Linked DNA regions of Canis lupus familiaris. The main gene of each other region encodes a partner of the protein of the gene in region 3 in a complex. Links are inferred from orthologs where the notes say so. Each region holds a gene or a part of one and is shown on either strand. Other genes may lie near its edges.

What was found.
Region 1: NUP205 (region 3) and CETN3 share a complex: the UniProt entries of both Homo sapiens proteins name them as parts of the nuclear pore complex. The link is inferred for Canis lupus familiaris from reciprocal best matches to the Homo sapiens genes NUP205 and CETN3.
Region 2: NUP205 (region 3) and CETN2 share a complex: the UniProt entries of both Homo sapiens proteins name them as parts of the nuclear pore complex. The link is inferred for Canis lupus familiaris from reciprocal best matches to the Homo sapiens genes NUP205 and CETN2.

Annotation. Positions count from the first base shown.
Region 1 is NC_049224.1:18,666,062-18,669,713, forward strand, and holds part of CETN3 (centrin-3), read left to right. Parts: intron 1-1,304; coding exon 1,305-1,419; intron 1,420-3,652. UniProt on the Homo sapiens protein: Plays a fundamental role in microtubule-organizing center structure and function. As a component of the TREX-2 complex, involved in the export of mRNAs to the cytoplasm through the nuclear pores.
Region 2 is NC_049260.1:122,023,975-122,027,726, reverse strand, and holds the start of CETN2 (centrin-2), read left to right. Parts: upstream 1-1,112; 5' UTR 1,113-1,152; coding exon 1,153-1,251; intron 1,252-2,168; coding exon 2,169-2,327; intron 2,328-2,638; coding exon 2,639-2,767; intron 2,768-3,752. UniProt on the Homo sapiens protein: Plays a fundamental role in microtubule organizing center structure and function. Required for centriole duplication and correct spindle formation. Has a role in regulating cytokinesis and genome stability via cooperation with CALM1 and CCP110.
Region 3 is NC_049237.1:12,346,151-12,349,902, reverse strand, and holds the start of NUP205 (nuclear pore complex protein Nup205), read left to right. Parts: upstream 1-1,055; 5' UTR 1,056-1,184; coding exon 1,185-1,212; intron 1,213-3,752. UniProt on the Homo sapiens protein: Plays a role in the nuclear pore complex (NPC) assembly and/or maintenance. May anchor NUP62 and other nucleoporins, but not NUP153 and TPR, to the NPC.

The DNA.
Region 1 (3,652 bases), on a different chromosome or scaffold from region 3:
TAGTAATACATTCTGTACATACTTTCTCTAGTGCAAACAATATAAGTGATGTCTGATGTCAACGCAGTGCTAATGGGGGAAAATGTCAACTTTAGGGCCTAGAATTATTTATAAAGATGTGAGGGAAAATTAAAGTTTAGGGTAGTACAGATCTCACACTCAGCATGAGAAAGGCGACATTTTGGTAGCTCCATTTTTTTTTTTTTTTTTAATTTTATTTATTTTTTCATGAGAGACACAGAGAGAGAGAGACAGGCACAGGGAGAGAAGCAGGCTCCATGCAGGGAGCCCGACTGAGACTCGATCCCAGGTTCTCAGGATCACGCCCTGGGCTGAAGATGGTGCTAAACTGCTGAGACACCCGGGCTGCCCTGTCTCTTCCATTTGTTACCATTGTTATTATCTTGGTTTGGGATCTTACTTCATACCTGGATCTTCTTAAATGTTTTCTCCATTTCTGGTTTGCTCTGTATACTACCATTAGATTCACCTTTCTAAGACTCTTTCCTCCTATTATTCATTGTTCGTAAACCTTTAGTGGCTCCTCATTGTACACTGCATAAAGTTCAGATTCCTTTTATTTTTATTGAATACTCCCCACACTTTTACTACTACCTACTTTTCTCATTGCTAAGGACTTGTTTCCACCTGAGCTCTTCCGGTTCAGGTATGGTAAGCTGCTCTGTTCACTGTCCTTAAGCCTATATATTATGGTATCTGTTTTAATGCCAGTCATCCTTTTCTCAGTGCTCTTCTACTTTATTTCATCCATATATCAGGGAACAAATGGAACCTTTCCGAGTAAGATTTCTTTAATCAGTATCCTGTCTCTCCTTTTTGTTAATAGTAACAAGATCTTTTCTTTCTTTAAACTCAGGGCCTGGACTATTTACTTAATAACTAATCATGTAGAGTCTCATGATAACTCTTACTTTAATTTTTTTATCTCTTCTGTTGTATACATTTTTAATATTTATGCTATACTTTTTTTCATTTTGGTAATCATTTGAGAACAAATAATTTGTTAAAATGATTTGTACAGTAAGTCAGTCTTGTATGGTGTATTTTATAAACATTTGATTGGTTTGTCATATAAAAAAGGATATGTAAATGAAAAAGTTGCTATTTCAGTAGTGGAGAAAAGCTATCACTTTGATTTTTTAAGAGACATAAAACTTGCAAAAGATTTAAATGTTTTATTAATGTGCTGACATCTCTTAAGTTGTAAAAACTTATTTAAGAATTGGAAGTCACTTCTTTTGAAAGAGTGCTTTATAATTTGCTTTTCCCTTTTAATCCAAAAGGTGGCAATGAGAGCCTTGGGGTTTGATGTAAAAAAAGCTGATGTACTGAAGATTCTTAAAGATTATGACAGAGAAGCCACAGGGAAAATCACCTTTGAAGATTTTAATGAAGTTGGTGTGTATTTTAATAGTCTTTGTAATTAGCACTTGTTAGGAAATTATCTGGTTAATATTAGTTTTTTTTTAATTCTCTGGGTTATGGAATTTTGTTATTGAACATTGCTGTATAATGTAGATATTATTATAGGGATTTGGGGGCACTCTTCTTACTTATTTTCAAAGAAAAAAATAAGATTTACAGCTTCACTATGGGATTTATCATTTTGTCTTTTGTTCTGAAGATTCTAATTAAGGAACTATTATGTAGCTTTTTGTGGAATGATGTCTTCCTAAGTTTATATCATGTGATAAAACTAAAAAGGTGATCAAAAAATTATTTTCTTAGACTAAAACAGAAAATTTGGTATCCTTTTGTTTGGAAAATATTTCCTAAGACCATTCTGGTGTGTGATTTTTGTTGGCAGAGTGGGAGAAGAGAAAACCTATAGCATTTGGTATCTTTGGCTGAAGATGAAGTGCATGCCTTCAGGTTGACAAAGCTTATAAGGGGCTGCATATTCTGTATGACTTGATCTCAGTGAATAAAGTCATCTGTTTAAAGTTGAGAATGGGGAGAGGATTGTAATAAAGGCATTTGGCAAACTCAAGCAGGAGAAAACATTTTAGAATAACCAACTAAGCATAATGTGTCATGAGCTTAATATGATTGAATTTTTATATAGTTGATTTTAGTGAATTAGTTATAGCATATATCAAGCTTTTTTAGAATAGAAGATTCTGGAAAGCAAGGCCTTTGTTATTATGATTTAAATATATTGCATAGAATATTATACATAGAATGTGCATCTATTCAGAGTTTAATTTTCTAAAGCAGTAATACTTAATATGGGTCATGATATAAGCATATAGTTATTTTAAGATATTTTAAAAATTTAGAAACAAATCCAGTTACAAACCTTTTGTGTAAATATTCAGCATGAATATTGTACTGCATGAAGCAGTACAGAAAGCAAAAACAAATGGGAGTTTGGAAAAGATAGATTCATATCATTAAATCATTGGTTTTATTTTTTTAATTTGAAAACTCAAAACCAAGGTGAGGAAGAGGAAAATTAAAGGATAAACCTAAAAGAGAAAGGAAGAACAACACAGAATATCCCCACTTTATAAATTAAGAAATAACTGTTTAGAAAGGCAGCTCATCTCTTGGGGAGCATATTGTTGTTATTGTTGTTGTTTTTCCTAATCTGTAGACTTATTTACTTGAGAAGGGGGAGGGAACCATCTTTATTCTTTTAGTCTTTCATTATTGAAGTTCTTCTACAGTTAGTGATCTTAGTCCAAGTTCCAACTTAGATTGTTAATTTATAGAAACAGGTATTAGGATATAGTGGCAATGATACTATTAGGAAAGAGCTACAGTTCAGGCACATTTGATACAATGTAGTGGTTTATCATGGACATTTTAGAACCAAATTGCCTGGGTTCAGATATTGGTTTTTGTATGACTTGGTCATTTTTCTTGTCTCTGACTCATTTGCAGCTATATATAGTGGGATAGTTGTAGTATCTTGTGATTTTTGGGAGGAATAAATAAGTTAATACATAAAATATGTCAAATGTTTATTAGAAGGGGTCCTAGCTATAATAGTAAGTACTATTTAGTATTTGTTATTATTACTTTAAAAAATTGTCTTTGTTTCACTTTGCTTTAGTACCCGGAAATAATTGTGTATGTATCCACTTGAACATAAAAAGTCTTGTATTCATGTTTTTCTGATTACATTTTTTTCATAGTTGCAGGCTATTTTAGGCATTGTATCATCGTCATTAATGATTTTATGCAACATATTATAACATCTTAAGTAAATACAGTTTTAAAATGTGATTTTATTAGCAGTTGAAGTCAGAGTCCCATGCCATCTTCACCCTTTCCTTACCCTTCATTTTTCTATGTTATTATTGGAGCCGCTGATACTGGGTTCTTTCCAGAATAAATGACCATGGCTAAACATCTGCTCTGACTTTGAAAGATAGAACTTTTGACCAACTTAGCACATACTTTAGCTATCTTAAAGGCTACCTATTGAAAATACCAGTAGTCAAATAAAAATTTATTACTGTTTAGAAATCAAACAGCCAAGAACTGTATATTTTCTCCATTTGTTAATTACTTTTCAATGATAACTGACCACAAATGAGTGTCTATTTTATACTTTGGAACAAGTAACTCTGAACCAGAACATTTGATTCTGGTTAATACATAATTTTATGTATTATCTATTACT
Region 2 (3,752 bases), on a different chromosome or scaffold from region 3:
ATGATAGCTAAGATATGCAAGCAGCCCAAGTGTCCATCAACAGATGAGTGGATAAAGGAGATGTGGGGTGTGTGTGTATGTGTGTGCGTGTGTGGGGAATACCATCCAGCCATAAAAAATGAAACCTTGCCATTTGCATTGACATGGATGGGGCTAGAGAATATTATGGCAAGTGAAATGTCAGAGAAAGACAAATACCATATGATTTCATTCATATGTAGAATTTAAGAAACAAAATAAATGAACATGGGGGGGGGGGTGAAGAGAGGCCAACCAAGAAACAGACTCTTAACTACAGAGAACACACTGATGGTGACCAGAGGGGAGGTGGGGGGGGGAATACGTTACATTGGTGATGGGAAATAAAGACTGCACTTATCATGATTAAAGAAAACAAAAGAAATTTAACAGAGTTTTATAAAAGAACAGTCTCCAGGCACCCCTCACACTTTCAAAACTCTTGTGTGACTTTGCTCAGTGTCTCCGCCCGAGTGGGTGTCAAAAAGTACATTTTGATGACCTCTCCCCTCATGCTCAGTCATATCTGTTTCACTCCCTCAAAACTCCCCCTCAAAGGGAGAGCCTCAGCGGGATTCGGTTTCTAAGTCGCAGCTGTCCACACCTCCTCGACACTCCCATTCCCTTCTCTGGCTCTGCTGTCCCTTGAGCACAGTCTCTGCTCTGACCCTCAAGGTCACGGTCTTCTCTGGCCCCTCTTTCCAAATTCAGTCTTAAGCCAGACCAGAAAGCCCCCAACCGGAAGGCCCCACCCAGCCCCCTACCCTCCCACCCAGTAGCGGATAGAAGGCAGCCTCCGAGGGTGAGGTCGTGACCCTTACCCGTCCGTAGGCGACCCCCCGGCCAGCCTCCGCGCGCCCTCAGCTTGCACCCAAAGGCCTCGGGCCGCTGGCGGTCACCCTTTTCTCCCCACCAGCATGAGCCGAGGATCGGCCGAGATGCCTCCGCCAAGGGGATTGGCTCAGCTCGGCGCCGGCTCAGCCAATCGGCGCTCACAATGTGATCCTGTCCAATGAGGCCAGGCCTCGGCTGTGAAAGCACAGCCCCCTTGCCCTGGGCCTGGCCTTTGTCCGCTTAGCCCCACCCACCACGGCTCCCCGCCAATGGGGAGCAGCGGCGGCGAGCGGGCTGCCAATGGGGAGCGGAGCCGCGCGCGCGGGGCGGTGGGAAAGGCGCCGAGTCAGTGTGTACGTCGGTTGCCGTAACAACGGTCCGCGGAGTCCATCGGCAATGGTGAGTGGGGGCCGCCCTTTGGTGCCCCGCGGCCAGGGGCTGAGCCCTTCTCAGGCTTCGTGTGGCCCTGCCGTCGCTCCCGCGCCGCTCTCGGCTTTGGAGTGCCCCTACTTCCTCTCGGCTAGTTCCCGGAAGGGTAGGGTAGAGACGTCGGCCGCCACCTGGGCCTGCGGTCCTGCGCCGCCTCCCCTTCGTTCAGTCTGCGCCCACCCATCCCTCGGGCGCGCGTGGCCTTCCCCTGCCAGCCCCCGCGTGACTGCCCCTGGTCAAAGAATACTCGGGTTACCCGCAGGCTCTGACCTCTCAGACCCTGACCTCCTGGTCGCTTCGTGCTACCAAAGTTTACCCACAGACCTGGGAGGAGGTTTATTATGTTTGATTGTTAACGTGCATTCTGAATAAATACAGGGATCTTTCGGGAGACGTTTTGATCTAATTAAAGTAGGCACAGACCTGCCTAGTGGATGGAATTTTATTATACACCTTAGCAAAGTAGTAATATTGGGCCAAATGTAGAAGTAATCACAAAGTTGGAGTACAGAGAGGAGGAATACTGCGAGCCAATGTTGTAAGGGCTTTTCTTGAATTAGGATCGCCAAATTCAAGGACAGCTGATCATCTGTACAGTTATCCACAGTCAGCTCCTTGGCTGGATCTCTTTGGGGATGATTTTCAATAAGAGATGTGCAAAGGAACACGGGATCTCCTTGCTTCTACAAAGAATAGGAAAAAAGAAGGAGGGATAGCGGTGCACGGAAAGATTGTTGTTTCAAGTAAAGCCCTGTTATCTCTCCTATTAAGCAAAGCTGTGGAATTGCTTGGTGTAAATATTTTATGTAAATATTTGTAACTATTTTATGTAAAATATGGATTGCATCACTTAATATCGTACTTCTGTGTTTGTAAAACACCTAAAGGCCTCTAACTTTAAGAAGGCAAGCATGGCATCATCTGCCCAACGAAAAAGGATGAGTCCTAAGCCGGAGCTGACTGAAGAGCAGAAACAGGAAATCCGGGAAGCTTTTGATCTCTTTGATGCTGATGGAACTGGGACCATAGACGTAAAGGAACTTAAGGCAAGCCCTTTACATTCCCACTGTACTGCCTTCCTTTCCTCTACTTCTTTCTCTTCTTTCCTTGTCACTGCTCTACCCCTTTTGCCCTCTTTTCCCTGCAAAAAGTTTTCCTGTTTTTCTCTTCTCCTGTCTTTATTTACCTCAAGTGTTATAAAATAAAATTGAGCACAAATATCAATCTGCATAACGCTATAGTGTTTCCCAGTCATTTTAACATGATTGTGTCAGATGCTGGCCTCATGCTCTCACTGTCATTTTTGTTCCTGCCAGGTTTTGATGTGCATATTGACATGATCCTGTTTTCATTGTAGGTGGCAATGAGGGCACTGGGCTTTGAACCCAAAAAAGAAGAGATCAAAAAAATGATAAGTGAAATCGATAAGGAAGGGACAGGAAAAATGAACTTTAGTGACTTCTTGACTGTGATGACTCAGAAAATGGTAAGTTACTAGGATAATCAGCCTATTTTCCACCCATATTGGTGAACAAATTTGAATCTAGATATAAAAATGTCTTCACTGAAGAAAGGTTAATACCAACTGGAGGGTTCTGCTGAAAAAGGGCAGTACTTATGACTGACAGGATGCTTAGGTTCTATCTGGCTCTCTTCAAGGCCACAGAATCACAGGAAAAGTCAGTTTACCCTTTGAGTAAGAGAACTGCTGTCACTCTTTTGTGATTATTTTTTTCCAACTGATGTGTTAACGTGCTGACCACAAGCAGTAAAACCTGTAAACACCAGCAATATTGCACTGCCTGACAATATGAAATGCCTATACTTTAAAGGTCAAAATTCTTTTCTCTCTCGTTTCTGATTCTGGGCGGCTCTAGCCTGAGGGCGGGTGACTTCTGACAGCTGTGTTTTCCACTACACTGGGAATTTGGCCTTTCAGCACTTTCATTTTTTTTCTTTTTTTCTGATTTTATTTTTTATTTTTTTATTTTTATTTTTTGGAGTTCGATTTGCCAACATATAGTATAACACCCAGTGCTCATCCCGCCAAGTGCCCCTCTCAGTGCCCATCACCCAGTCACCCCAACCCCCCGCCTACCGCCCCTTCCACTACCCCTGTTCATTTCCCAGAATTAGGTGTCTCTCATGTTTTGTCACCCTCACTGATATTTTCACTCATTTTCTCTCCTTTCCCTTTATTCCCTTTTGTTAACTTTTATATTCCCCAAGTGAATGAGACCATATAATGTTTGTCCTTTTCCAATTGACTTACTTCACTCAGCATAATACCCTCCAGTTCCATCCATGTTGAAGCAAATAGTGGGTATTTGTCGTTTCTAACGGCTGAGGAATATTCCATTGTATACATAGACCACATCTTGTCTATCCATCCATCTTTCGATGGATACCGAGGCTCCTTCCACAGTTTGGCTATTGTGGGCATTGCTGCTGTAAACATCGGGGTGCAGGTG
Region 3 (3,752 bases):
GCTATAATTAACATCATTTTCCTAATAGGGTTGTTTTGAGGATTAAATGAGATATAATAATAATCAGTACATTATCCTATAATGTGAAATTGGTAATAAACATCTGGCATAGAATAATAAATGGTAATGACTATATTTTAGTTGGAAAATTTGCAAACTAAAATTCAGTAACTAAAAAAAAGAAGATCCAGTTATTTGGGGTCCCAGGGTGGCTCAGTCAGTGAAGTGTATGTATGCCTTTGGCTGGGATCATGATCTTGGGGTCCTGAGATCCAGCCCCAGGTCTGGTCCTTGTTCAGTGGGGAGTCTGCTTCCCCTTCTCCTCTGCTCCCACCATCTGCTCATTTTCTTTCACTCTTTCAAATAAATAATGTTAAAAAAGAAAAAGATCCAGCTACTTGAGGGTGCTTAGGTAGAAAAATATTTGGTATTTATGAGATCTGTCTGGAAAGGTCTTCAAAATAATCTTCCCTGTTAGGGGTGGAGTAAAGGCCGCGAATTGAACTTTGGGTGTTCATTATTCTACTTTTGTATACATTTGACAAATGTAACAAAAGTCATGATTTGTTTCACTTAGATTTGTTTCAACCTATGCAACAATGTTGATGCAATACACTTGCCATATTGAAATGTAATGAAAACTTAGTTTGTAACTGATTAAATAGCTTTTTGAGATTTGTATACCTTACACCTCACTCCACTCCTCAGAGAGAAATGCAAGGAAGGTGTAACTTGATATGGAGATAATGACCTGAGTTTACGGCTTTTATATCGTAAATAGGCGTAATTTTCTTTTTTTTTAATAGGCGTAATTTTCAATAATCAGTCTCATCTTTCTGTTGATGTCGTCACTCATCATTGGGGAAAAAAACTACAAGGACCAGAATCCACTACACGACTGACGTCACATCGAGGCCCTCCGGTCTCCGAACCGGTTGCCCTCGCCTAATTTGAATGAGCCGATCGCGGCGAAAATTGGCGCCTGTGACGTACAGCAGCTTTTTTTTTTTTTCTTCGTCTTCTTCTTCTACAGCCGCCTTTCAAGGCTTCTTCCGCCTCTGAGTGTGTGGAGAGTGCCACTCCGAGACAGGGTGTTACCTTTCTGCTCAGGCATCGCGTCGGGCAGCCTCGCCCTTTCCTGGGGCTTCCGTGCGGCAGGAGGGCTCCGTTAGGGCGCCTCCAAGATGGCGACGCTGTTGGCGGTAAATTCGGGTAAGGGCGGCCGCGGCAGAAGGGGGAACTTGCTGGGCAGGACGAAGGTTGGTCCTTTAGTGCGAGGTGCCGTGAGGTTCCTCGCAATGCAGGCCCTCGCTTGTGGGTATGGTGCTTGCTTTGGCCTAGCTCTGGGCCTAGAGTCCCAGCCCTCCCCGGTTTGAATGGCGCGCCTCGGTGCTGCCGCCCCAGCCCTCACGGTGGGGTTTCAGGAGGGAGGCAGGGGGGTTTGGTCCAGCGGCCCCCCCCCCCATCTCCCCGCAGTGAGGCCGGAGGACCTGAGAACGCGCACTTCCGAGTAGGCGGATCCGACACGGTAGTGAGAGGGGGCCTGGAAGTCGGGGTGCATCCTGCCGGGAGGGGGGTGTCTCAGCCTTGGGCGGTGCCGCCCCTGAGGCTTTGGGAGGAGTGGGTGCGTTTGCGGCGTCCAGACTCTCGGCGCCTCATGGGCGGGGCGAGGATGCCTTCAGCCCTGCACGCGGCGGAGCTGGGCTTAAAAACACAATCCCCCCTCCCTCCCCCAAACAAAACAAAACGCAGTTTCCAGCTCAGTGACATACAGTTAGCTTTTTGGATTCAGTTTTAGCAGCGTGTCTATGACATACTGGTAGAGAATGTCATTCAAGAGTAATATTTCCTGTCCCCCGCCCCCCCCCCGCAGTGTTTTGGGGTTTTTTGGGGCGAGGGTGGGGTTGGGGGAGGGGTGCGAGTGCTTGGTTCTACTTGCCATAGGACTGGTATTACTGTAAAGTCGAAATCTGAATTCTGCAAATCTAGCCATTTCAGTGACTCTGTCCTACCTTTAAAAAAAAAAAAAAAAATGATAAAAGATTATGTTTATCGAGCCTCTGATATGTCCCCAGGCATTGGACTGTTGCACTTGCATGATTTCATCTAATCCCCTTTGCACACCTACGGAGAAGCTGCTATTAAGTACCCCAGTCTACAGACTGGTGAAAAAAGACTTGGGGGTAGTTAAGTAACATCACTGAGGGTTATAGGGTAATAATGGTCGTAAGCCAGACTCAGGTGTTTAAACTACTTAAAGCACAAGCTAATTCATTTTATTACATCAGATTTTCATATATATATGAATGCGGGTCATGAAGTTATGTTCTTTTTTTTTTTTAAGATTTTTATTTATTTATTCATGAGAAACAGAGAGAGGGAGAGAGGCAGAGACACAGGCAGAGGGAGAAGCAGGCTCCATGCAGGGAGCCCGATGCGGAACTCGATCCCGGGTCTCCAGGATCAGGCCCCGGGCTGAAGGCAGGTGCTCAACCGCTGAGCCACCCGGGCTGCCCATGAAGTTATACTCTTACTACGGCTGTCCCAATCTCCCTACCCAGATATAATCTTAAAAACAAGGCTTGCATGTTACACGTGTGGTTAAATACTATTCTTTAGTACATACCAAGTTACTGTCATTAAACATAAATCATTGGAGGAAAGAGGAAAAGGAGTTACCAACAATTGCAAAGAGTGTATACATTGTATAATGCCTTGTGACAGGAGTGTGTAATCGACAACACGGAAAGGAATCATTTTTCACAGCCAGGAGTCAGGAGAATATATGTATATTTAATTAAACATCCTAGGGTAGCAGCCTGAATGTCCATAAGTGGATGAGTGTATAAACAAAATGTAGTGTATACGGACTACGAGATGTTTGTCCTTAAAAAGGGAATCCTGTCACATGCTACAACATAGATAAACCTTAAGAACATTGTATTAAGTGAAGTAAGCCGGCCAAAAAACCAAAAAAGGATAAATACTGTGTGGTTCCACTTATGTTTGATACCTAAGGTAGTCAGATTCCTAGAAACAGAATGTTGGCTGCCAGAGGGAAGGGAGAAATGGGGAGTTGTTTAATGGGTTACAGAGTTTCTTTTGTGCAAGATAAAAAATTCTGAACGTTTGTAGTACAACAGTGTGATGCCCTTGGCTACTGAACTCTACCCTTGAAGATGTTTAAGATAGCAAATTCTGTTAGTTCTTTTTTCCTACTTCCCCCCCCCCCCCAAAAAAAAAAAAGCCAAATATCTTATCGTAGACAGGGAAAAAATAGAGGTTGTAGGGTCTAAGACCTATGCTTGAGATTCAGCGGCATGATTTATTGGTGTTGTGACCTGTTGTCATCCCAGATGAGCAGACATACAGACTTGTTGATAAGCAGCCATTGATTGACACAGGCCTTCTGTGGCCATCTGGTCACCCCTGTCCTGTTCACGGCAGTGACTATCTCAGACTTTTCCACATTCCTCAAATCTTGTCTTCCAGCTGATCCCTCAGCCTCCTAGTCACAGAGAAAATAGAAGCCTGTAGGCATGCACTCTCTTTTTTTTTTTCCACCCTCAAACCTACAAACCTGGATCTATATCTATACTCGTTTTCACCGGTTTCCCTTTGTCTGAGTTAAATCCCACCTCTTATGCCCTTCTCCCTACTACCTTTTCTCTCTCGGATATTCACATCTCTTCTTGCTCCCTTTCTTTCCACTAGCCTCTTCTTTGGATCTTGATCTCATGCCTTGTTCCAGT